2 linked regions of the Bombyx mori genome follow. Each later gene encodes a partner of the first gene's protein in a complex. Links are inferred from orthologs where the notes say so. Each region holds a gene or a part of one and is shown in the gene's direction. Other genes may lie near its edges. The genes, in order: DNA-directed RNA polymerase III subunit RPC2 and DNA-directed RNA polymerase III subunit RPC7-like.

What was found.
Region 2: DNA-directed RNA polymerase III subunit RPC2 (region 1) and DNA-directed RNA polymerase III subunit RPC7-like share a complex: the UniProt entries of both Homo sapiens proteins name them as parts of the RNA polymerase III (Pol III) complex. The link is inferred for Bombyx mori from reciprocal best matches to the Homo sapiens genes POLR3B and POLR3GL.

The regions. Positions count from the first base shown.
Region 1 is NC_085116.1:7,722,917-7,735,756, forward strand, and holds the end of DNA-directed RNA polymerase III subunit RPC2, read left to right. Parts: intron 1-222; coding exon 223-335; intron 336-1,267; coding exon 1,268-1,443; intron 1,444-1,876; coding exon 1,877-2,064; intron 2,065-2,588; coding exon 2,589-2,973; intron 2,974-3,047; coding exon 3,048-3,411; intron 3,412-3,482; coding exon 3,483-3,941; intron 3,942-4,018; coding exon 4,019-4,813; intron 4,814-5,311; coding exon 5,312-5,448; intron 5,449-5,516; coding exon 5,517-5,680; intron 5,681-6,615; coding exon 6,616-6,832; 3' UTR 6,833-6,862; downstream 6,863-12,840. Other genes in the region: sphingomyelin phosphodiesterase 4, read right to left, coding at 7,279-7,608, 7,966-8,088, 8,165-8,269, 8,672-8,802, 9,179-9,396, 10,246-10,367, 10,436-10,616. UniProt on the Homo sapiens protein: Catalytic core component of RNA polymerase III (Pol III), a DNA-dependent RNA polymerase which synthesizes small non-coding RNAs using the four ribonucleoside triphosphates as substrates.
Region 2 is NC_085117.1:13,524,337-13,537,065, forward strand, and holds DNA-directed RNA polymerase III subunit RPC7-like, read left to right. Parts: upstream 1-5,789; 5' UTR 5,790-5,943; exon of another isoform or gene 5,944-6,065; 5' UTR 6,066-6,070; coding exon 6,071-6,724; 3' UTR 6,725-6,811; downstream 6,812-12,729. Other genes in the region: uncharacterized protein LOC105842656, read left to right, coding at 2,973-3,089, 3,560-3,699, 4,853-4,952; sperm-associated antigen 6, read right to left, coding at 5,005-5,076, 5,162-5,222, 5,301-5,446, 7,070-7,228, 7,536-7,688, 8,412-8,564, 9,261-9,434, 10,170-10,283 and 4 more. UniProt on the Homo sapiens protein: DNA-dependent RNA polymerase catalyzes the transcription of DNA into RNA using the four ribonucleoside triphosphates as substrates. Specific peripheric component of RNA polymerase III which synthesizes small RNAs, such as 5S rRNA and tRNAs.

The DNA.
Region 1 (12,840 bases):
TATTAATAAAGTAGTCAAAGTAAAAACAGTTTTTGTGTCAATATCAAAGTAATAGTATCACAAATTTTTAACATGTTAATGATTCCTTTAATTACTTTAACATTAGGTCTTTGCTTATGAAGTTTAACAATACTGGCCATTTGAAATGTAATTAAATTATATACCTATTATTAACATCACTCTCATATATCATTTTGAAATCTGTATTTTGATTCTTTACAGAATGCCCCTCATGCTTAGGTCTTCAAACTGCGTTCTTACTAATAAATCGGATTTTGAGCTTGCACAGTTAAATGAGTGTCCCCATGATCCTGGAGGCTATTTTATTATAAGAGGTAAGAAACCAATTTAATTTTATACAACTAATATTAAAAAAAAACTCCAATGTATATAAATGTAAAATGTACATAAAATATTTAAATGTGTAATAATTGTAATCATAAAGTTAAATTTTATTAATTTGTTAATCTGGAGTAAAGTACATTGGGAGCCTTATATTTAGTCAGAATAAAAATAAACGAAAATTTAAATAAATATAATATAAAGAAATATAATAAATAAATATAAAGAAAAACTTTAAGTTAAAAATACATAGAATAAAAAATTTGGCAAGACTTAAAGCATAATAACCTAACATTGACCACATTAAGGTTGCATTTCACACTACATTTGGGTTTTTTTTTGTGGTCTAAATGAATGAAATACTGAGTTCTCTGTGAATATACAGTTATGAGCTAGGTTTCTAGACAAAATAATATGGTTTTAATGAAACACATTTATTAACAGTGCTCTAAAACAAAGTTAAAGACAATCAAATTCAAATTATCATTTTAACGATACTGTAAAAATAACTGCGTTTGAACGTTCAAAGAGATGATCTGATTGAGTAGCATAGCCAAAAAATATGCTAAAATTTATCTAAATTTCTAAAAAAAAAAGAAAACAGTTTTGGGATCCGAACACTATTGGTTTTGATTTCAAGAGTGACAATATTTTATTATTCGATCACTATTGCATACAGTTACATGGAGTGAATTCAGTTAGTTTTATATTGGCTTCATGTACGCTTTTTCATTTATGCAGCCCCTTTAATAGAAGTTCAATGGATGTATGGTTTTTAAAATGAAATGTATTTTTGTTTTTATTTTTCCCTGCACGAGTAGTACCTAGCCCCGTACCCGCTTGACCTTGAGTTTCAGGACACCTGTATAAGTACATATATATGTAGTTTACTTGAGTAATGAAAAACAATTTTTATTGTCTGTAGGTCAAGAAAAGGTGATTTTAATTCAAGAGCAACTCTCTAGAAATCGAATGATTGTTGATGAATTCAAAGGAGCAGTACAATGTCAGGTTACAAGTTCCACACATGAGAAGAAAACTAGAACGAATGTGATTCTTAAACATGGAAAATATGTGCTCAGACATAATGCATTGTCTGATGTATGTTACTACTTAAATCAATTTCATTTAACAAACAATAATCAAAGCTATATATGTATTTTTTACTGGTGGTAGGACCTCTTGTGAGTCCGCACGGGTAGGTACCACCACCCTGCCTATTTCTGCCGTGAAGCAGTAATGCGTTTCGGTTTGAAGGGTTGGGCAGCCGTTGTGACTATACTGAGATCTTAGAACTATATCTCAAGGTGTGTGGAGCATTTACCTTGTAGATGTCTATGGGCTCCAGTAACCACTTAACACCAGGTGGGCTGTGAGCTCGTCCACACATCTAAGCAATAAAAAATAAAAATAAAACCATAATATGTTTTGAATTGGACTTCTTCCCTTCAAAATTACAAAAGCTATTTCAAAAGCTAAAATAAATAATTTCCAATTATGTAGTTTCCACTAATTTGTATTTTTTTATATTCAGGATATTCCAATAGCTGTCGCCTTTAAAGCCATGGGCATATGTAGTGATCAAGAAATAATGCAGCTTGTAGGTACTGACGATAATACAATAAAAAAAATGGCACCTTGTATTCTAGATTGCCATAATTTGAAAATATTTACTCAAAATCAAGCTCTGACTTATATAGGAAGTAAACTAAAAGTAAAAAGGTAAGGTTTCATTTTACATCTAATTTATCACTGTTTAGTGCATATATAAATAAAAATATTTTACTACCCCGCTGTTTCTGTAAGCTTTTTTTGTAATCAAATTACTTAATAGTTACTAATTGTTTTAAATGTTCGCGACTAATAATATATTGAACGCGTTCATAATTTAATTTCGTTAAAAATCTATGCTAAATTGTGATAAAGTACGCTCTTTGTGCTGAGGAGATAGAGAAAATATGTCCAAGGAAAGTAGTCCAGTATATGACAAATTGGGCCTGGAAAAAGATATCTATATAGAACGCGGGAGAAGTTGAAATAAATCCAATTCAGCAGTGAAAGTGTACTTACAGTCTTCCATCCCTTGCGAGCATTCATATAAAAATACCGTTTGATAGATCTAATATGCTTATAGTTAAAAAATAAACGTACATTTAAACCTTAACCATTGCCATTACATATATTTAAATGCTTCCACATTTTCCATACAGTACCTATTAAAATCTATTTTTGTTTTAAATGTAAAGGTATCAAGGTGGAAACACAAAAGTACGCTCACCAATTGATGACGCTCGTGAACTATTAGCTACGACTATATTAGCTCACGTATCGGTTGAGAATTACAATTTCTACGTAAAGGCCATTTACCTTGCGATAATGGTGAAAAGGGTAATTGAAGCCGAAACAAATAAAACTGCAATAGACGATCCAGATTACTATGGGAACAAAAGGCTTGAATTGGCGGGGTCTTTATTGGCACTTATGTTTGAAGATTTATTCAAAAGATTCAACTGGGAATTGAAGAGTATAGCCGATAAAATAATACCTAAAGTTAAAGCTGCCCCCTTTGATGTTGTGAAGCATATGAGACCGGATTTGATTGCTAATGGACTGTTTACAGCCATCTCTAGTGTTAGTACAGTTTATCGATTTCTTATGGGCATTAATTACTCATTATACCATGCTAATAAGATATAATATTTTAGGGCAATTGGACAATTAAGCGCTTTAAAATGGAAAGGCACGGGGTCACACAAGTATTAAGTCGCCTCAGTTATATATCAGCACTTGGTATGATGACAAGAGTAAATTCCCAATTCGAGAAGACCAGAAAAGTGTCTGGACCACGGTCATTACAGGCCTCACAGTGGGGTATGCTGTGTCCTTCCGACACTCCTGAAGGAGAAGCATGCGGTCTTGTTAAGAATTTAGCACTTATGACGCATATTACAACAGAGTGTTCTGAAGAGCCTATTGCTAAGTTGGCCTGTAATGCTGGAGTTGAAGACGTAAGGCTGCTAGGCGGAGAAGAAATAAATCATCCTGCTGTTTACATTGTCTTTCTTAATGGTATTTGAAAAACATTTAAAAAAAAAACTCATTAAAATGTTATCTGTACTTATAGTTTGTTTCCGTTACAGGTAACATACTGGGCGTTTCTCGACAGTATAAGCGGCTGATTAAAGTTTTTAGAATGTTCAGGAGAAGAGGATTGATTTCAGCTTTTGTCTCCATATATCCCAATCATAACCAAAGAACCGTTTATATCTGCAGTGACGGCGGCAGGCTCTGTCGACCGTACATAATCGTAGAAAGAGGAAATACCTTAGTGCAGCAATCTCATTTAAATGAATTAAATAGAGGTATAAGAAAATTCCAAGATTTCTTAAATGATGGTCTTATAGAATATTTGGATGTAAATGAAGAAAATGACAGTCATATAGCAACACGTGAAGTAGATATTGATCCGTACGTCACTACTCATCTAGAAATAGAACCTTTTACGATATTAGGTGTGTGCGCAGGCTTAGTACCATATCCACATCACAACCAGAGCCCTAGGAACACATATCAATGTGCTATGGGTAAACAAGCAATGGGTAAGTCTGAAATATTTTGGAAATTACATCATTTATAATTAAAGTTTATTCACAGAATTAATTATTTAATCTTTTAGGAACCATAGGGTACAATCAAAAAAACAGAATCGATACTCTAATGTATAACCTTGTTTATCCTCAATGTCCAATGGTGAAGTCTAAAACTATTGAGTTGATAAATTTTGATAAACTGCCAGCTGGTCAGAACGCTACTGTCGCTGTAATGAGCTACAGTGGATATGATATAGAAGACGCTTTGATTCTAAACAAAGCTTCGATTGACAGAGGATATGGACGTTGTCTAGTTTATAAAAGTGCGAAAACAACAATGAAGCGGTACAGCAATCAAACATCGGACCGAATTTTGGGACCTTCGAGAGATGCAGTTACAGGAAAAGTAATTAGAACTCATGATGTTTTGGATTCTGACGGCATTGCAGCTCCAGGTGAAATGGTTGAAAATAGGCAAGTTTTAATAAACAAACAGATGCCGCCGGCTACGATAAATCCCGTCACTCAAGGACAACCGCAACAAATTGAATACAAAGATGTACCAGTTACATACAAAGGGCCAGTTGAGTCATACATCGAAAAGGTTATGGTATCTTCAAACTCCGAAGATGCTTTCTTGATAAAAATCTTATTAAGGCAAACCAGAGTTCCAGAGATCGGTGACAAGTTTAGTTCTAGACACGGTCAGAAAGGTGTAACTGGCTTGATTGTGCAACAAGAAGATATGCCTTTTAATGACAGAGGAATATGTCCTGACATGATCATGAATCCCCACGGCTTCCCATCTAGAATGACAGTGGGAAAAACCATTGAGCTCTTAGCTGGAAAAGCGGGATTATTAGAAGGAAAATTCCATTATGGTATGTATATAGGTTACAAGGATATATTATTATTTATGTATCTTAACGTATCGTTTGAATTACGGAAATTTATAAATTTGATAGCATAGATTCTTATTATACGATATTATGGGATGAAGAAATTCATTCGTGAAGCTGTTATGTACCGCCACCCTACCTATTTCTGCTGTGAAGCAGTACCTACTGCGTTTCGGTTTGAAAGGTGGGAAAGCCGTCGTAATGTTAAAACTGCGATCTTACAACATATATCTCGAGGTGGGTGGCGGCATTTACGTTGTAGATGTATATGGGCTCCGGTTACCACTTAACACCAGGCCGTGAGCTCGTCCAACCATCTAAGCTAAAAAATACCTGAAAAGGTGTCCGTATTTATTAAAGAAAAAAAGGTGACACTCGAGTCATTTCAATTAGTCTGTGTATTTCGTCTATTTAACATTAGTCACAGCGAAGCGTGGTGTCTTAGTTTTAAATGAAAAATAAGTAAAATGTCCATTTTAGGTACTGCGTTCGGAGGTTCCAAAGTACAGGACGTTTGCAAAGAATTAGAAAAACATGGTTACAATTATCACGGAAAAGATATATTTTATTCGGGATTAACTGGAGAGCCTTTAGAAGCTTATATTTATTCTGGTCCTGTGAGTATTTCTAATCTCAGTTATTTAAGGAACAAGACAACAACTGCAGACATTTAATTTTCAAACAGGTATACTACCAGAAGTTAAAGCATATGGTTCAAGACAAAATGCACGCCCGAGCACGCGGACCTAGGGCGGTTCTGACTCGTCAACCGACTGAAGGACGCTCTCGCGACGGAGGACTTCGGCTGGGCGAGATGGAACGAGATTGTCTTATTGGATATGGCGCCAGGTAAACACTAATATTTGTATATGTAAGTATAAGTAATGACGAATTTGAACTCCATATGTCCCCTGAGTTTCTCGCCGGATCTTCTCAGTGGGTCGCGTTTCCGATCCGGTGGTAGATTCTGCGAAGCACTGCTCTTGCCAGGGTCAGTGTTAACAACACTTCCGGTTTGAGCCCCGTGAGCTCACCTACACGTCAGGGTAAACCTGAAGTAGCCTCTGCTATCAGCATAGGTGGGAAAAAAAGAAAGTAAAAAAAAAAGAAAAAAAAAAGCCATACAGATTTATGTAATATGAATAACCTAGTTAGTTTGTACCGCGATTTAATTATATGGCACCTTTAGAATTGAAATGGTTTAATCCAAAATTCTTGTTTTTTTGGTAAACGACAAAAATGTAATTGAAGAATTATAGTTTTTTAGTTTCGATTTTAATACTTTACGCCTTAAAGCACATACCGTAAAGTTTAAGGTACCTATTCGCGTGATTCAAAAGAGACAGAAAGCGTACCTTGTCCTTTTCTACACTAAAAGAGATTGTTTAATTTTATAAACTGACTAGCTGTACCTGTCCGCGTCGCTGGGCATTTAAATTTAACATTATTTTTTCTCACCCCCATAAAGATTCTCACCATTAACGCCCCCGCAACTGGTGTAGGGAGTCCAACACTCATATAAATATTAGCCTATTCATCAAGTACATGTATTTTCTACATGGATACCAAGTTTCAAGTCAATCGGATGCATGGTTCAGTAGTTATAACGGAACATCCGTAAAAACCACTGTAGATTTATATATTAATATAGAAGTATAGATAAGGATACATGTTTAAAAGTCATTCAAAATATCTTAAAATTTTTAGTAAAACCACTTCAATTCTAAAGTTGTGATATGTTATGAAACTTTTACAAATTATTAACTTGAAATGTATTCCGCCAGCATGTTGATCATGGAGCGGCTAATGCTGGCCTCGGACGCGTTCACCGCGGACATATGCGGCGCGTGCGGGCGGCTCGCGAACCGCGCCTGGTGTCACACTTGCCGGTCATCGGCTGCGGTTTCCAGTGTCGAAATGCCGTACGCTTGCAAATTGTTATTTCAAGAACTAGCTTCAATGAATATCGTACCTAAGCTTACCCTAAAGAAATATTCCTAACAGACAATAAATAGGTAATGATTCTGAAAATAGTTTTAATTTTATCGACGATTTTTCTACCCGCTACGGTTGAAATAGGTACCAGTAAGTGTTGGTATGATTAGTGTTAATGGTCATTCTGTATGTAAAAAAAAACCCTTGCATACTTCTGCCGCGAAGTAGTCATTTTAATTTCGTTATTCAAAACGTCGGGGATAACGAAATTGCAATAGCATAAGTAATCTAGAGAACAATTATACATAGATTATAAAATTATAAGTTCATAACATGATAGAAGTGAGCTCCTCATATATCAACTACTTATATGATCTATAGTGAACTCGTTCACCAATCTAGGGCATTTTTTTTTTGCAAAGTCTAAATAAATTACTGTGATCCATTATTGTTACGGTTTAAATAAATAAAGAGCAGGTTCAAAAAGGTTTTTAATATAAAAAATATTAATCTTAATTTATTCGTATTACTTTTAACATCTTGAAACTTCCCTTGATAAATACATACGACAACCATAAAGAAAACAATATTAATATGTAACTAAGGCCACTGAAAGAAAACAATCTCATAATTAAATAGCCAACAGTTATCCAGAAAATGAACGCCTGTGAGCCAAGTCGTCTTAACAGTAACCTTGGGGGTAGATCTTGCCGAATAACACGATAGTGGTTTGTTATGTCTTTAACATACGTTTGGATCGTACATGGCTTCTGTAGTACTTCCCGAGCCGCGTAACCCCAAATGTCTTGTCGATTCCACAGGTTTGTGAACGTTGGTTCATACTAAAATATAAATCATTAAATAAATAAAGGTTTGTTTATTTAACTGTGTGGATAAGCGAGCAAGCCCATTTTAAGACCCACGTGAAGCGAAGTCCATCAAGAACACAATTTGCATGCCTCACATATTAATGTATTAAATCAAGACTGAATTTCTATGAATCACATTTCTTCTAATGAATACTTTTATATAGAGACATGGGTACGTAACAGTAAAAAGCTTAAAACGATTAGTGGTAAAAAGCTCCAAACAGTTACTAACACAAACAAATCAGCAAACAAACAGAAGAAAGGTGATAAACTGTTTTGTCTTTGCTAATTTATGCTTAACTAGAATGTTAATCTATTGACATAACTCACCAATTCATTTATTTTAGTTGAAATTTGATGCAGTATTCTGACTAAAATTGTACTTTCATAGGATGCTATAGGCATGAGGTCTGGATTACCCATATAATGTACATTTGTTGATTTACTTCTCAGCTGTAAAATAGTATATATACTTTAGTATACTCTTCTTTTATTTTTTTAATTGGATATCATTTCTGTCAATATTTACCTTGTTTGTTATAGAAAATGGAAAAGCAGTTGAATTTACAAATGATGAGTTTTCTAAACTGTCATCCGCAATTGGTTCTGAAGGGAGTAGTAGTGCTTCACTTAACTGAAAAATTAAAATAGCTAGGTATACACACACGCTCATAAAACTTCCTTCTTATATATATACAAGCAGCCCGCTCCGGCTTCGCTCGGGTCTTTTTGACGCTGTTTTTTTTTTTTAAATAAATAACTATAATAGTTAGACATCTGCTGTCGCGACACTTTTTGTAAATATTATAAAAAAATATTATAGGCTATGTCACTCGGAAATAGTGTAGCTTCCAAACAGTGAAAGAATTTTTCAAATCGGTTCAGTAGTTTCGGAGCCTATTCAATACAAACAAACAAACAAATCTTTCCTTTTTTTAATATTAAGTATAGATTAAAAATTATGACTCTGGCAAAGATTACTGAGCTGCAGTTCGGTGCGGTATTGTTAGCTAAATGACAATATATAAATGCTTACACCAAATATAACTGCAAAATTGTGTATAGATGTATTTAAATAAGTTGGCACTTTTTTTACTTCTTCTAGATGTCCATCACTTTCATCCTGAGTGGCTATCATTAGCCAGTGCATTAAAGATGACCAAAATCCTAAAACATAGTTGAAACTGTGTAATAATTAACTATTTATTATCTGCTCATCTATAGCATAATATCATTGAATCGTTCACATGATCAAGTGTAATAGAAAATATAATTTGCATAATTACTAGTGGCAGCACGACTTGGGAGCCTGCTAGGGTAGTTACCACCGCCTATAGTAGGCATATTTCCTACCACGAAGCAGTCATGCGTTCCGGCGTAAATGGGATAGCCGTTGCTGTAAAATTGTGATTTGTACCTCATGTTTCTAAGTGGATTTACATTTCCGATATCCGATAAGATTCAGTAACCGCTTAAAACTAGGTGGCCGTAAGCTTTTTCAAACGTTTACGTAATAAATAACTAAATACATACGTTTATTTACCTTGATTGCTCATGTCGATTTTTTTACTAAATTCTTCAACGTTCTTTTCCGCTATAGTTTTAGCAGAAATAATTTTCTTTACAAATTCTAAAGCAAAAGATCGCATGTTATCATTCCATATAGGTTTATATTCGAAATTTTCAGGCATATTGAATTCTGATATTGCTTGTTTCGCTATCGCTACCCATTTTTGCAACGACACTCCGTTGTATGTATAACTGTAAAAGATGTTGTTGAATCTTTATAATTAAGAAAGAGCTTTTTTTTTTCTTTTTTTTTATTTATTGCTTAGATGTGTGGACGAGCTCACAGCCCACCTGGTGTTAAGTGGTTACTGGGGCCCATAGACATCTACAACGTAAATGCGCCACACACCTTGAAAAGAGTTGCGAGAATTTGCTGCATTCAAAATACGTAATCACTGGACGTTATCGGCTTTTAATGTACTCTCTTTACTTGTCGAGTGCACGGTCTATTTCTTTGATGATATGGCCTTTTTCGTATATATTTAAATATGTATGTCTATATCTTATTATTTCGTATAGTATAACTGCTTAATAAAGTATAAGTCATTAATTTATAAAAAAAAAAAAAAGAATCAAAGTGGTTATTCAACATTGGATAAGCATTTCGTTGATGGTTGGGCTGACATTATAAATAAATAAATATAATTATTTTACTAACAATCACGCCACGTTAACTGGTCCCGTGATAAGATCGTAAAGAACTTGTGTTACAGGTACCAGATATCGGAAATAAATGTAAGATTTTTATTATACACATACATATATTTACATTTATATTTATCATACAAATATCTTCCCTTGGCGGGATTCGAACCCGCGACCCCCTGGTGTAGTGACCATGTCACTTACCACTACACCAGACGGACGTATTCCAATTGAAGATTTCGACCTCATTTCTCAAGGGAGGTGGCGTCAATCATATTATGATGTCTATGTTTTAACACTAGATTATTATATTATTACTATATTAACACTAGACGGGCCCTGAGCTCTTTCATCTATCTAGGCACTGAAACAAACTGTTTAAAAACAATAGTTCACCTTTGATCAGTCATTGAATTGCTAAAATTTAAGTCTGAACTGTGTGTCACTCCAGATCCACTATCCAGAATTGCATGTTCTAAGTTCCACAGAATTGGTACTAAATGCGGTTGGGAAAACACCTGCACAAAAAAAAATCATCATACTTTATGATGCAAACGAAAGGCACGTAAGTAAAACAGAATATTACCTTTCCCAATCTAAAAAGCATCACAGCATTTTTGTACGTCGTGAGATCCAATCTCATAAATCTTGGCAGAATCAACTGAAAAATGCAAGTGTATGATGGAAAATTCTCGGCAATAAACTGAGTAAAGCTGGCATCGAGGGTGTGTGTTGGATTTTCATCTTGATGGTTGTTTGATGGAAATCTGAAATAAACAACATACTTACAACCAGCTGCATGTTTAAAGAAGAGTATACAGTTATGCAGTTAAGATGAAAATTCAAGGTTAAAATAATTATTATTATCAATTTACTACTATCAATTTTATCTCAATATCTGAATATTGTTCAATATTATATATCTTTTGATTGCACTATATGTACAGACAATTTCACTGCCGCCCCAGATTCAAATTGTTAGAATAGAAACAACACTTTTTAATTCTAGGGTCAGCAGACTAAAGCACATAAGTCAAAAAACTCTACTTTACAGGAATTAAAAAAAACTATTTAGAATCTTATACATTAACAAACTTAATCATGTTTATTTGAATTATATAAGTCTATAACACTAACTTATTATTAAAATTAAATATTTTAAAGTAAATGTGATTAATTAATAATTAGATGACTTAAGTTATAAGGAACACAATAATAGTATGAGTTAAGTGAAAAAGATCAACAATTAAGATATATATTATAATAATATAAGTCATAAATATAAATAACAACTCAATGTTTAAATAAAATTCTTCTTCTTCATCGAGTTCTAAAATATCTGGATCAGTATTTCGTAAAGTTTTCAACGTGGGAAGACTTATGTAAAATTCATGGAAAATATCTGGTATTAAAGGGAGCAGCGAAATTAAATCAATTTTTTTCTCGATGGATATGGGTAATGGCTGTATAGATATTATATCATCAGTTTGAGAATCCCCTATGGATGATCTCCTTTTCATAGCAACTGTCTTTATAAAATTGTCACTTTCATCTAACGGTTTCATTAAACATCCTCTGCAGACAGGTTCACGTTTACCATGCACAGTAAAAAAGTATTTTTATGTCTTCATTCTAAGCTTTTGCTTTTCAGATTCAATAGCTCATATTCTTTGCTTAGATTTATCTTGAATTTCCATTAAAGACGCCAAGTATGCAGATCTTTTTGCATATGACCCCATTTGCCAATATTCTGTAAATATGGCATGCCTATCAGTTAATGGTATACGTTCTTTACATTTCATTCTGCAAACAGGTAACTCGTAACTCTTTCAAATTCAAAAGTATAACACACTAGTTGAATGTCAAAATATAAATAACAATGTTATCTTTACCACCGTTTCCAAAAAAAGCCTGAGAAGAACCGGCGAAACAAACTCGGCGGGCTTTTTTTTTGTTTTTTCTCAAAAAAATTTTTTTTTTCATTGTGCGATCTGATATACAATTTCCTTTTAAAGTTCTGTATGCCTGTCCTAAGTTAAGTTTTATTTTTTTTTTCTCTTTTGATAGTACGTATACTCTTTTTTGGAGACACATTAGGATTCATTAAAATTTCATCACAAGTACTTTGAACTTGATGTGGTTGGAAGTCTCGGTAATTCATAACATGGATCTCGTACAGAATCATCACTAGAGAATTCAAGTACAGAATAGTATGTTAAACTACTGACTTGACCTGATGATGTTGACAGTATAGGATCGTCTACTACTAAGTTCTCTGTGTTCAAAATCGACTGTTGATTTACATTTTCTAAAAAAGGACAAGACAATTATCTATTTATAATGATATAATATTGATATAATTACGTAATTTGCAAATCATAATTTTGAAGATATGTGAAAATATACCTTCATCGCTTTCCAGATGAGTGGATAACGCCATTTCAACTAATTTCTTGCCTCTTTGAATATTCATCTTAAATAATTAAAATACTTAAGCACTCACACACAACTAACTAACACAACTAACTAACCAACAAACTGTGCACAATCGACAACATTAGTAAATTAAAACCACTTACCGAAGTATTGTTTACGTTATAAATATTTTTAAGTAACTACTTACTTTCTCTAAAGAAATGTTACATTTTGATGTTCTTTATAACATAAGTCAGACTTCTTTCGTTAATAACTTTGTACTTATGGTGTTCCTTAGAACATAAGTCCAGTTATGTTTTTTAGTTCGTTTGATTATATTAGGATTTGATAAGGTTGATACAGAACGCCGCTTGAATACACCATGAAATACTTGAGTTTGATTTATGTGCTTTAGTCAGATTGTGTGTTGAGCAAAATGTAAACCGATGATGTAATAAAAAATAAATTGAAAATTTTGACTTATGTGCTTTAGTCTGCCGACCCTAGAATTGCCTTCTTGGCCAAATGAGCATATGGCCCACCAGTGATTAGTCATTGTCACCCATGGACATTTGA
Region 2 (12,729 bases), on another chromosome or scaffold:
TCTATTCTCAATTTGACCACAGATTGATAAATCAATAAACAAAAAAAGTATAAATGCATGTTTGTGTGTGTGTGTGTGTCAAATACATGGTAATGTGTGTAAGGTTTTTTTATTCATTTAGTTTATTTTTTTATTGTTTATGCACAATTAAAAAAAAAAATTAGCAATCTGCATTACTTCTCTATATTCTCTATAAGTGTGGGAATTTTCATACTTCTCCGTCCGCGCAATTTTCGTAAAAAGGAGTACAACATTTTTGCTTCACGTATTACCTACTTAAATTGTAGGTTCTTAGTACTTAATACATAAGTACTTAATACATAAGGGTTTTGAAATATAAAACTAATCTTAAATTTTTTTAGTTATACCACTTCCATTCTAAGGGTGCAATTTCGTAAACAAACTTTGCCGTAATGGCGTAACCTTTAAAATACACGAAAACTGCCCAGCATAAACATATTTTTTTAGTAACTTTAATAGAAGTATTAGAATTAGAAGTTTATTATAGAATTTATTTAATTGTAATGACATATTTAGACATACCTACTTAACATAATTAATCTTGGAATAGGTAATTATTTCAGCTTTTTTTAATTAAAGAAATTATGTTTTACATAGGTTTAATCATTTACCCGTTGAACGTTTATAAAATGATTGTATTTACGGTAATAGTGTTGATGATCTTCATTAGGTGGCCCAAATATACTAAAATTATTACGAGCATCTATCCTTATTTATAAATGTGTAAAGAAGCAAAATTATTATTACATTGTTTAAATTTCTATATAATTTATAAATATAAATCTGTACGTATGTATCTGTAAATATGTATATTGCGCGCGCGTGTGTGTGTGTGTGTGCGCGTGTGTATATATTTCTATAATATATACACACATATAAATCTGGAATTCATTTCGAAATTATTCTTGCCCATCTAATGGTTGTCTGGAAGAGATCACTCTTAGCGATAAGACCAAGAAAGAATGTTTCACAATATTTATTCATTTTGTGTACAATAAAGAATACTCTTTCACTGGTGGTAGGACCTCTTGGGAGTCCACACGGGTAGGTACCATCACCCCGCCTATTTCCGCCGTGAAGCAGTAATGCGTTTCGGTTCGAAGGGTGGGGTAGCCGTTGTAACTATACTGAGACCTTAGAACTTATATCTCGAGGTGGGTGGCGCATTTACGTTGTAGATGTCTATGGGCTCCAGTAACCACTTAACATCAGGTGGGCTGTGAGCTCGTCCATCCATCTAAGCAATAAAAAAAAAGAAAAAACTCTTTCTCACTCTCTCTCTCTCATCAAACAACTCTTTAAAAAAAAGCAATGATTTAATAAGAATTAAATGAAATAGCAAAGAATTAATATGTATTTACAACTAGCTAGACGTCTATAAAATTTTCTAACCGAAAAAATATATGTGTATAAACCATTAGAATAGATAAAACCTTAAAAAACAACATTATTAATAAAAACGAAAGAAAAAATCTTGATATTGTATTGGTTTCACGGCAAAATTTTTAGTGACTACTTAACTTGCTTGAAAGTGAAGAAATACTCTCAAAATCCATTAATTTGCAACTCGCACTCGCACATACAATAATCGAGAGCCTCACTTCGGTAAAGCTATTCGATACATGAGACAGCAACATAAACAAACCTTCTCTCTCCCACAAAATGAGATTCATAAGCTTACCACTAGGTGGCACTGATACAACCTCACACAAATTAAACATAACATTAACATCGACTGAGTAATTAAAAAAACTCGCACTAAGCACAGGTACATTACCCATTACCCGACTAATTATAAATATCGTTAGAAAGCTTGGCATTTCAATTAAACGCCTTAAAAAAAACCTTGCGTGCTACCAATATAAAAGAAAAAAATATCGCTTCTCAAGATGAATAAACGTCCTGCAAATCGAGTAACTCGCACTCAGAGCTCCGCACGTTTCACCGTGAAGAGCGTACACTCGATGCGAGTCATTCGATTCGATTTTTGAAACTCGCACTAAGCCTACAGTAGTCTTTGCTTGAAAGAGTAACACATACCTATCCATCCATAAATCTTAACAAATTTCATATAAATAATAAAATTATAATTTGGATCTGAAATGAAGAAACATTAAAAGTAGATATTATAATATTTCGACAGTCCTAGCCTCCAAAAAAAAATGGCAAAGTTCATTCACATCAGCAAAACTTGTTTGCTTGGTTTTGCCAATAGTGATTTAATAAGACTAAATTGCTTTATAGAACGTAAATTACCATAACTTTGATGAAAAAAACACTACTAAGAAAGTAAAATCCACTTATTTATTTACACTAAACTTCCGGAGCACGTAGTTACCACAAATTTAGCAGATGCATTTAGCAACCGCCAAAAATGACAATTCTTTCAAATCTGGGTTGTCAAATCAAAATAATCAAGATGTCGCCAATCAAATGTTCAAAAGTAGTTCATTGCAAATGTTATAGAACATAAAGTTTTGACAAAGGTACCTTTTAAGTCGGGTCATGGCAAATTTAACAATCTTTGACAAAGTCGCCAGGTTTCACGGTATTTTGAAGATGGCATAAAATAAATTTGGCTGATTATCAAACTTAAATTGGTTTTTTTTTTTTATTGCTTAGATGAGTGGACGAGCTCACAGCCCACCTGGTATTAAGTGGTTACTGGAGCCCATAGACATCTACAACGTAAATGCGCCACCGACCTTGAGATATAAGTTCTAAGGTCTCAGTATAGTTACAACGGCTACCCCACCCTTCCGCTTTTTGATCTTATTGATCCTTATTGATCTTTTCCGTGTACTTTTTCCACATAGTAGTAGGTACAAAGTGAAACAAAAATATAGCTTGTTTATTGACTTGTATTATTTTATCACTTTAGTATTGAAGACTTACCATAACCGGTAGATAACGACAGTAAGATAACAGCTAGTTTCCTGTCCACAATTATCATGTACAGTTATTCAGTTTGTGGTGGACATTTGGTAGTATACCTTCATCATTTAAACATGCATTACATATTACTGACTGAGCTAGAAACTGTTGGATACACTTCTTGTAAAATTCAGGTAGCTTGTAACCACTAGTATACTATTAGATACGTATGTCCTCTCGACTAAAGTGGCAATAAGCAACAAAGTATATGTGTTCAAGTGCATTTAAGTATACCTACCTTATTATAGGTAATAAATATTTTCATCACCAGTCCAAATTATTCAAAAAAGTGAAATTTTCTATTTTAAGACATGTGCACCACAGGAGAACGTCTGTCGAGTCGAGTAATTGTATATATCAAACTAAAATTATTGTTTTATGTAAATCTAAAAGTACTAATAGTTTTTCTCATCCAATTAATAATACATCACATGCGTCAATTCTTTATTGCGACTTATAATAACGTACCTGCCTCTTATAGGTCTGCAATAGTGCTATTTAAAATGCTTACAAGTATGTAGCCAGTTTAAATTCCTCCCTGGCGATTGTGTGTAATGGCCAATAGCTTCCACAATAATTCGTTTTCTCTTTTTGTAAATCACAGGGTTTAAATGCAAATGAATTAGAATTACTAAAGACGAATTTAATACGACATGACATAAAATTCCTTCAAAACCAGAATTTTCACGAGATCGAAGCGTTGGGTGTACGCATGTTAAATCTGTTGGCTGAAAATGACTTTAAGTGAGTATATATAAACTATAAGGAACACATCTTGAAGTAACTTCGTCAAAGGTAGCTTAAAAAAGTTTATTATCTTATCTTATACCATCTCCTTGAGACTAAAAAGTCTGATGGTATAAGATAACAAGGATGCGATGCAGTGTGAAATATCTAGTTCCAATTTAAGAGCTTAAGAATTCTTTTTTTTTCTTCAAGTTTGTAGGTCTAAATAAAATATTTATATTTACTAAATTCACGCTCGTAATTATAACTATCTTTACCTATATATAATTCTACTGTACGTGTGTATGTCACTGAACTCCGCCTGGACCGATTTGAATGAATTTCTATTCGTTTGGGTGGCGCCCTGGATGGTTTAGATTCACAAATCAACCCCGCAGATGGCGCTGCAGTCGGTATCTAGGTTATTTCTCTTTCCTAAAAACCCAAAAATTTAATGGCAAAACAACCTTTGCTGGGTCAACTAATATTTCATATATGTGTACCTATTATATATTTATAGTTAAAAAAATAGAACACTGATAGCCATGCAGATCTATTATTCTTACCAAAGTAAAATAGGGGTAGTGACGCAAGAAACGTTTGGAGAGAAAGTAATCCCTACTGTCGAAACGGGTTCCGATTTTTAAAGATAATGCTATAATTTATAATTATAATATAAATTCTCGTCATCGCGAGATACATGAATCTGCTCGTCTATATATTGGCGCGTCTAACGTAGCCGACTGAAGAAACATTTAGATACCTACGCTTCTATTTTAGACACTATCCATAACTTTACAAAATAAGTTAAAAATATTGGAAAACAGCGTTCTCTGAGTGTTAAACAACCGTATTGCGATTGGTAATTGATATAAATTGGTTTATATTGACGTAATGTACAATCGCATTCTGAGTGTTTCTATCGCGTAGCTGTCCTGCATTCTAGTTTGAAGTGTGGACCAGCAGTACCAAAATGGGCCCTTAGACCTTTTGTCACCGACCGGGTGGTGATATTCACGTTGTGATGTCTTTGGGCTCAGGTAACTACTTAACGCTAAATTGACTGTAAGCACACACTCGTAGCGAATTGGATAATACCCTCTAAATCGGGCAAGATTTTTACCGCAGATAAATCGGTCTGTGTACAAATTTAACCATAATCCTATTGCAGTTACAGAGTATTGACTCAATCAATGGTAATAGAAGAATCTAAGATTGGTGGAAGAAATGTACAACTACAAAAAATTGTTTGGACTATGTACAAAGAATGAAAATTGAAACAGTATTAATAAATTGTATTTAACAACATATAAGAAAAATAAACTAATTTCTTTTCTCTATACTCATTTCGCTTTGGCAATCACTCGGCACCCGATCAGTAAAAAGTTCTGGTATCTATTCAACAAAAGAAAGTTACATGTTAATACATGAAAACTACAAGTGTCTATCGAAAATATATACATAAGAGTTTATTCCATACTTGTGGTGTATACGCTTCAACTCTATCCAGCAAAGAATCTGTGTAGCCGGGAGTATAATATCTGAAAATGAAAAATGTATAAAAGCCCACAGTTGAGATTTGAGTAGGACAAATTTTCTTTTAGTAGGTAGTCTTTTACCTTACTATTTCTTCAGGGAAGCAACTGTTTATGATATTAATATACTCCTTCAGGGACGTTCCGGGCACTGTTTCAATTTCTTGTATTCTTTTCAATGCTCCTGTTGTAACAAAAAGCCTTCTAGCTCTTGCATCGTTGGGTAGAATCTGAAAAAATAAAACGAACATAAATAATCTACTTCCTTATACTTTCATTATAATTTGTATAATAATTTCTGAACTGAACAGTTTTTCAGAAATTATGAAACTCCATGAAATTTAAATGGTACTTGCAAAAGACCCTAATAAGAAAAACATACACATTTCTTGGATTTAGCCTGCAAGAGAATGATTCGCACGTATATTTTGTTCTAATAAATGATGAACCTCATTACGAATTACTACGGTAATTGGTTCACGTTCTTCAAATGATGAAGGCAATATACATAGGCTTATTTCATGTCATCTCTAGTTTATTCTTATTTCACGCCATAGTCAATTTCAAATTATCAATAATTCTCATACTGCTGCATTTTACGTTTTGAAAAATAAATAAAGCCACGATTTTTTTTAACGTTGGCTGTATGAGCTACGTCTCTATTACCTGATTTATGAAAGAATTAAACGAAAAAACATCCGATTCAAAACAATAACAAATGAGTAGGGTACGTAGATACCATAGATTATACACTTAATATATTTGAGATAGGTAGATACCATCTGGAGTTTCAAATTTAAATAGATTAACTATCACCAAATTGTTTTCTGATCAAAAAATCGATTACAGTTACAATGGCAGGTAGAGGACGAGGACGCGGGGGTAGCGGTTTATCATTAACTACTGAGCAAATACAAGCCTTAGGTGTGACACGCGGCGACAATGCTCCTCCAACACTTGTGCCGCCACCACTGTTTCCAAAACTTGAGAAAAAACCACTACCTCTTATATGTGATGCCGCCACTGACTATATGCTCATTGTCAAAGATCAGTTCATTGAATATCTACACGAATCACCGGCATTTGTTAAAGTCAAAACAGAGACTGACGGTGTAGAGCGATATTCTGATAAGTACAAAATGTTAGCACTTGATGCGAAGCAGAATAAGTTATTGGATTGCGTGTGGGTTAACATGCCTACCGAATTACGGCCTCAAGCAAAACGTCCGCGTACTGTTCCGAGGAAAAGAAAACTCGATGATCCCGAAGAGATAGCAAAGAGATTACAAACGCTTGAAAAAAAAGAGACTCTGGAAACAGATGAGGCGATAGACGGCAAAAAAAAAGAATTAAACAACGAAAACGTAGATGAAGAAGAGGAGCTGGAAGATGAACATGAGCAAGAATACGAACTAGATGATGGTACTGACTATGCAAATAACTATTTTGATAACGGGGAAGATTATGAAGAAGAAGATGATAATTTGGATGATGGACCTGTTTACTAGGAAATATATATATACAAATTTATATTACACAGTTGAAACTGATTGATCTTGCATATTAAAAATAATTACAATTAACTGTTAATCAAATAGTTTTCACTTTTAATTTTTACTTTCAAATATTCTTTATTAGCAATTTGAAAAACAGTCCCGCCTGGTAGAACTCTTTAAAAAATAGAAATAAATGAATATTTCAGCGAAAGAAGTTTACTACTTAAGTAACTGCTACATCATATTTAAACGAATCAATCGTTAATCAATCGAAAAATCAATCATTACTGATTACTGGAGCACTGTTTCATTTGAAATAGTGTATTATTGTTATATTTGCCTAACTAGAATAATTACCTTTGCATACTGAGCTAGTACATATTTCAATATACAAGCAGGTGCAGAATGTAACAATGTCTCTAATGCAGGTCTATGTAGACAGCATTGTAATGCCTGTTTCAATGCACATGATGTCCGAGCTTGTACTTCTCCTGAAGACTTTGGGTTTGTGTAAAGCTGTAAAATTAAACTAACGATGTTTAATTTAAATATAATTTAAATATACTTTAAATATTGACATCTATCTACGTATATAAATGAAAAGATTATAAATGTGCTATTTGCACATGTATCAGACAAGTATTAAAGACTGATGACAATAATATAGTAATTTTATTACTTTGGCTTAATATTGTGATCAGAATTAGTACATCGAATAAAAAAAAAACGTTATGTCAATTTTAATTCTGCTTGCTGTTAATTTTTAAACCACAAATACTTTTACATCTAAACTAATCTAAAGTAAGAATGAGGTCAACCTAACTTGTAACAGTCTAGGTAGAGCATTGGCCACAGCAACAGCCAGACTGTGTTGTGGTGAGTGTTTTGCGATGTGGCCTAATGTCCAAGTAGCTGCACACAACTCTGCATCTTCTGCATCTTTCTTTTGTAGAATTTCAACAAGTGGTGTAATGGCCTAAAATTGATAGATACATTTTTTTTATTTATAAAACCAGAAAAGGCAACACAACAGGTCACAATTTGTGATGATTGATAACTTAAATAGTGTAGTGAAAAAACTTAATAAGATTATTTATTTCATATTTTTTTTTAAATTCAATGTTTCATAAATTGACTAATAGTCTCAGTATTACCAGTTTTCACTCATAAATATATATAATAAGTTATGTTTATGGCATCGACATAGGTATAAGCCGTGACGGATTTAGGCTTGATGGCGCCCTAGGCCCTGTTTATCGCGCCGCCCTCAATGTTTGAATAAATTTTATTAATTTTGATTCAATATTTTCATTTTAAATTTAAATTATCTTTATTTCCTTAAAATATAATTTTTGAATATCATCATCATCATCAGCCTTTATCTGCCCACTGCTAGACATAGGCCTTCTCCAATGCCTTCCACAGCATGCGGTTCTCCGCCTTCCGCATCCAATGACTTCCCGCTGTGCGCACTAAGTCGTCGGTCCACCTGGTTGGAGGACGCCCCACGCTCCTGGTACCCATCCGTGGCCTCCATTCGAGGACTTTCCTCCCCCACCTGGCGTCGTTGGTTCAACAGACGTGACCGGTGACCGGAGACGTGAAATTAAGTTTAAAAGGTATAATATATATAAAAGGTATAATATAAATATTAATATTTTATTGAGTTGTGTCAAACACAAATGTAAACTTTATTCACCTTCGATTCTATAACTGCCATTGCGAGCTGATCTGATTGCCCTGCAATAAATCCTAGTGCCATACAAGCTGGGACTCTTGATCCACCCGTACTCTCTTTTAATAGTTCGACCAAAGGACCACATCCACCAGTGTTCACTACTAGCTGAGCCAACTAAATAAATTGCAAATATTTCATAGTTAGGTATTAGTAAGATTATGGATTATTTCTTTCTGTTTTGATTTTATAACAAATAACTGACTAATCGAACGTAATGCTATGTTTTTTTTACCCAATTATTTAACAAATAACAAGTTTAGTAAATAGGAATTAAAGTAAAATAGTTTGCTTTCGAATCTCTTCTTTCCGTGAATAACATTTGTGATCACTTCATACGCGCTGATCATGTTGCTCTTAAACATTATTTCGTTCACAACAGTATCATGCGCTGCTCGGAACCTACCTTAGAAGCTATTTACACTAAAACTCTACCGATATCAATTCATCGCAAAAAAAACCTGATAAATTACTAATATAACTTAATCGTCGAATTCACGTGGGATCGGTATTAACACTGCATTACGATTACCTAGCAATAAATTTATATAAAACCACTAGCTGAACCGGCAAGGCAGACTTCGTAGTTCCTCAATCGACAAATAAAACACCTAAACTTTTGCATAAAATAAACTTAAAACAAACAAAAGGAATCCGTCCGACGTCCGATTTTCATGTTTATCTACCTTTTAAACCTCTGAACTTCCACAAATAATTCAAGACCAAAATTAAGCAAATCGGTCCAGCCGTTCTCGAGTTTTAGCGACTAACGAACAGCAATTCATTTATATACATATAGATATAGACTCTCACATCGACCGAATGCTTGACAATGTCCCTCAGTAGACAGGCTGCGGCACGCCTGACTGGCGCTGCGTCATGGCCGGCGTGCAAGAGGGCGGCGGGCAGTGCACCACCAGCCACTACTGCTTCAGCCAGCTCAGACCGTGCGCTGGCCACTGCACTCAGTGCGCATAGTATACTACGCTGCATTCCCAAATATTTCAGTAAACGTCTGTTATTTATTCATCACTAGCTGACCCGGCAGACTTCGTAGTGCCTCAATCGATAAATAAAATACCTAACCTTTTGTATAAAATAAACTTAAAACAATCAAAAGGAATCCGTCCGACGGGGGACACATCAAAGGAAAAACAAAATTGTTTTTTTTTATTTCATTCCGAGCATTTTCAAATTTATCTACCTTTTAAACCTTCTCTGGACTTCCACAAATAATTCAAGACCAAAATTAGCCAAACGGGTTCAGCCGCTCTCGAGTTTTAGCGAGACTAACAAACAGCAATTCATTTTTATATATTATATAGATTTTTCAAGCTACTATCAATATTTTCTAATCTTTTTTTTAATTTGAAATTTGCAGTAAAATTCACCCTAACCTATTATTATGGCCATATAGAATAATTTCGTAGCATTGGAGATTGCGAACTCTTAGTTTAACGTTAGATTGTTGATAATACAATCAATATACATATATATCAATATATACCTACCTACTTTAATCCAGTGATTTGTAGATGCCTAAGTAATATTAAACGAAGTTGAAGGGGACATAAGAAACTAAAACGTTCATATTGATTATTTCTGAGGTTGCTTTTGAAATTAAAATTCAATGCTAAAACCGGCGATTTCATTTTACGGACCATTTTAGGGGTACAGAGGACTATGTCTAATTCGTAACTCAATTATAACATAACAATACACCTTAAGCTTAGGATCCTGATTTTCTAGTCCGTGTACCAAATGAGAAATAGCTCCCGCATCGACTACTGCTTCCGGCTTATGTTGAGCCAAGTCTACGAGGGCTCCTGCAGAAATCTAAAATTCATTCAACATTATGTAAAGAAATCATGATAACTAATGAAAAGTCACGAAAGCCTTTCGTCGAAAGGAAGTCACTGATGGATACAGAAGTAAATAAACTTATATTAAAAAATTAAGAGGGTTTTCACATAAAACTTTAAATGAGAAACTTCAGCTGAGTTCAGCCCAATTATAGGCTAATATCAGCCGTATGATTGAAATTCGGTCGTAATCACAGGCACTTCAAGATGTATATTAATTGTACATAAAATGATTACAATTCTATGTTTGAATTGTTATTTTACTAGATTTTCAACAGTAGTTATTATGAAGTGCAGTGTATAGTAAAAGGTTTAAAATTAATTAAATTCAAAATGTTAGCCATGACTATCGATAGGTATATCTCAATTATTAATAAAATTCTCATGTCATCCTTATCCCACAAACTATTATTAATAATGTTGGTTTATGTTACGTACAAGTAGGTACCTGCTTTAAACTTATCTCAGGCTCCTGGAAAGCGAGTACTAACAAGGGTAGTGTGCCTGCATCTACAACCAAACCGGCCAATTGCTCACTGTGCTTTCCAATGTAACCTACTGCCCAAGCCGCATTTTCTTTAACCTGAAAAAAAGTTTTGAAGTCGTCGTGGCCTAACAGATAAGACGTCCGGTGCATTCGTGTTGAGCGATGCACCGGTGTTCGAATCTCAGGCGGGTACCAATTTTTCTAATGAAATACGTACTCAACAAATGTTCACGATTGATTTCCACAGTGAAGGAATAACATCGTGTAATAAAAATGAAACGACGACCCACCACCCTGCCTATTTCTGCAGTGAGCAGTAATGCGTGTCGGTTTGAAGGATGGGGCAGCCACTGTACTATAAAACCGAGATATACAATTCATATCTCAAGGTGGGTGGCGGCTTTACGTTGTTGATGCCTATGGGCTCCGGTAACCACTTAACACCAGGTGGGCCGTGAGCATGTCCACTCATCAAGGCAATAAAAAAGGCGACTAAAATGAGATTGTTTCGCAATTTCTACATAAATTGATTGCCGTCAGTCAAACAGTACCATATATTGTCAAGAACAGTATAGATATGGTTAAAAATAGTTTTGAGATTGAATTTAGTAATTATTAATTAGAGCCGACACATTCTTTTACAGCCTCGAACATCTCAAAGTGGTTATGGTTCATAAATTATTTATCATACCATAAATATGGTTACCCGTCACTTAGTCTTGCAGGTAAAGGTATGATTGACGAAGCAGATATTGTTTGAAATGATTTCATCATCTCCTTTTGTCGTTACATAATCATTAGATCAGAGTTCATCCCCAGAACCACGATTGCCTGGAACCGCTGCATTCATACCCAGTACATCTCTAGAGATTATATTTGTACATCCGTAGGTACGTACGGTTCTAGATTGAACTCCTCTCCTAATGTTGTTTCCTGGGCACTAAGTATAACATATTATCTTTCTTCAAACAAACTGCGAAAAGAGTCCATGGCAGTGGGTAGCGGCTAGTTATCACCTTGGCATTAATGATTTTTACAGTAAACAAGAGTGAATTTTCTCCATCAGTGTGCTTAGTGCGAGTTTTTTAACGTTCTCGATAGCGTAAAAGTTAGCTCATATTTGTTATGAAATGGGATCGTTTGCCTACTTACGTTTGCCGCTACTTTTGGGCACTGTTCCAACTGCATACAAAATTTGATTCACTTTTAGGCTATCGAGAACCTTAAAAAACTCGGACTAAGCACACATATGGCCGTATGTTGTGTCCTATACCTTAACACAAAATAAACAAAAACGACCACCCACATGAATAAAATAAATGAGACTAAACCTCAAAACTATTTTTAAATGAACTAATATGACGCGACGCCTGTGAATGGAAAATTGCAATAAGGCCTATATTTTTAATTACGATAGAATCAGTTCGATATGATAGAAACGATAGAAACAGTTCTGACTCAGTATTAGTAGTATTTAGTTTTATTTTTTTACCTGAGTGTCAAAATCTTCAAGACAAGAAACAATGTGTTCTAAAGCTCCCAGGCGGACTATTGCGCTCGCCAGTTCTTCATTGTGCCTAGTCATGTTTATTATTTGATTATTAATTAATAACGAATTTAAATGTATAAAAGTGATACATGTACTTACTTCGCTACTGCTCTCAATAAATATAATGCAGACCGCTTGTAGTAAACCTATGAATGTTTACATATTAATTTCTTTCGAACCAAATTAGAGCATTAAACCAACATTTTACAATAGTAAATAATTATACCACATACATTGTATTTATTTAAGTTTTCAAGTGTAATTGTAATGATTCCTCCATTTAGAAGCTGCCTTGCTATGTCTAAATCGTGTTCAGCAAGTTTTGCAATCGCTACGACAGCACACTGACGTATAGTGCTGCATGCGTCAGACAACAAGGGCTTT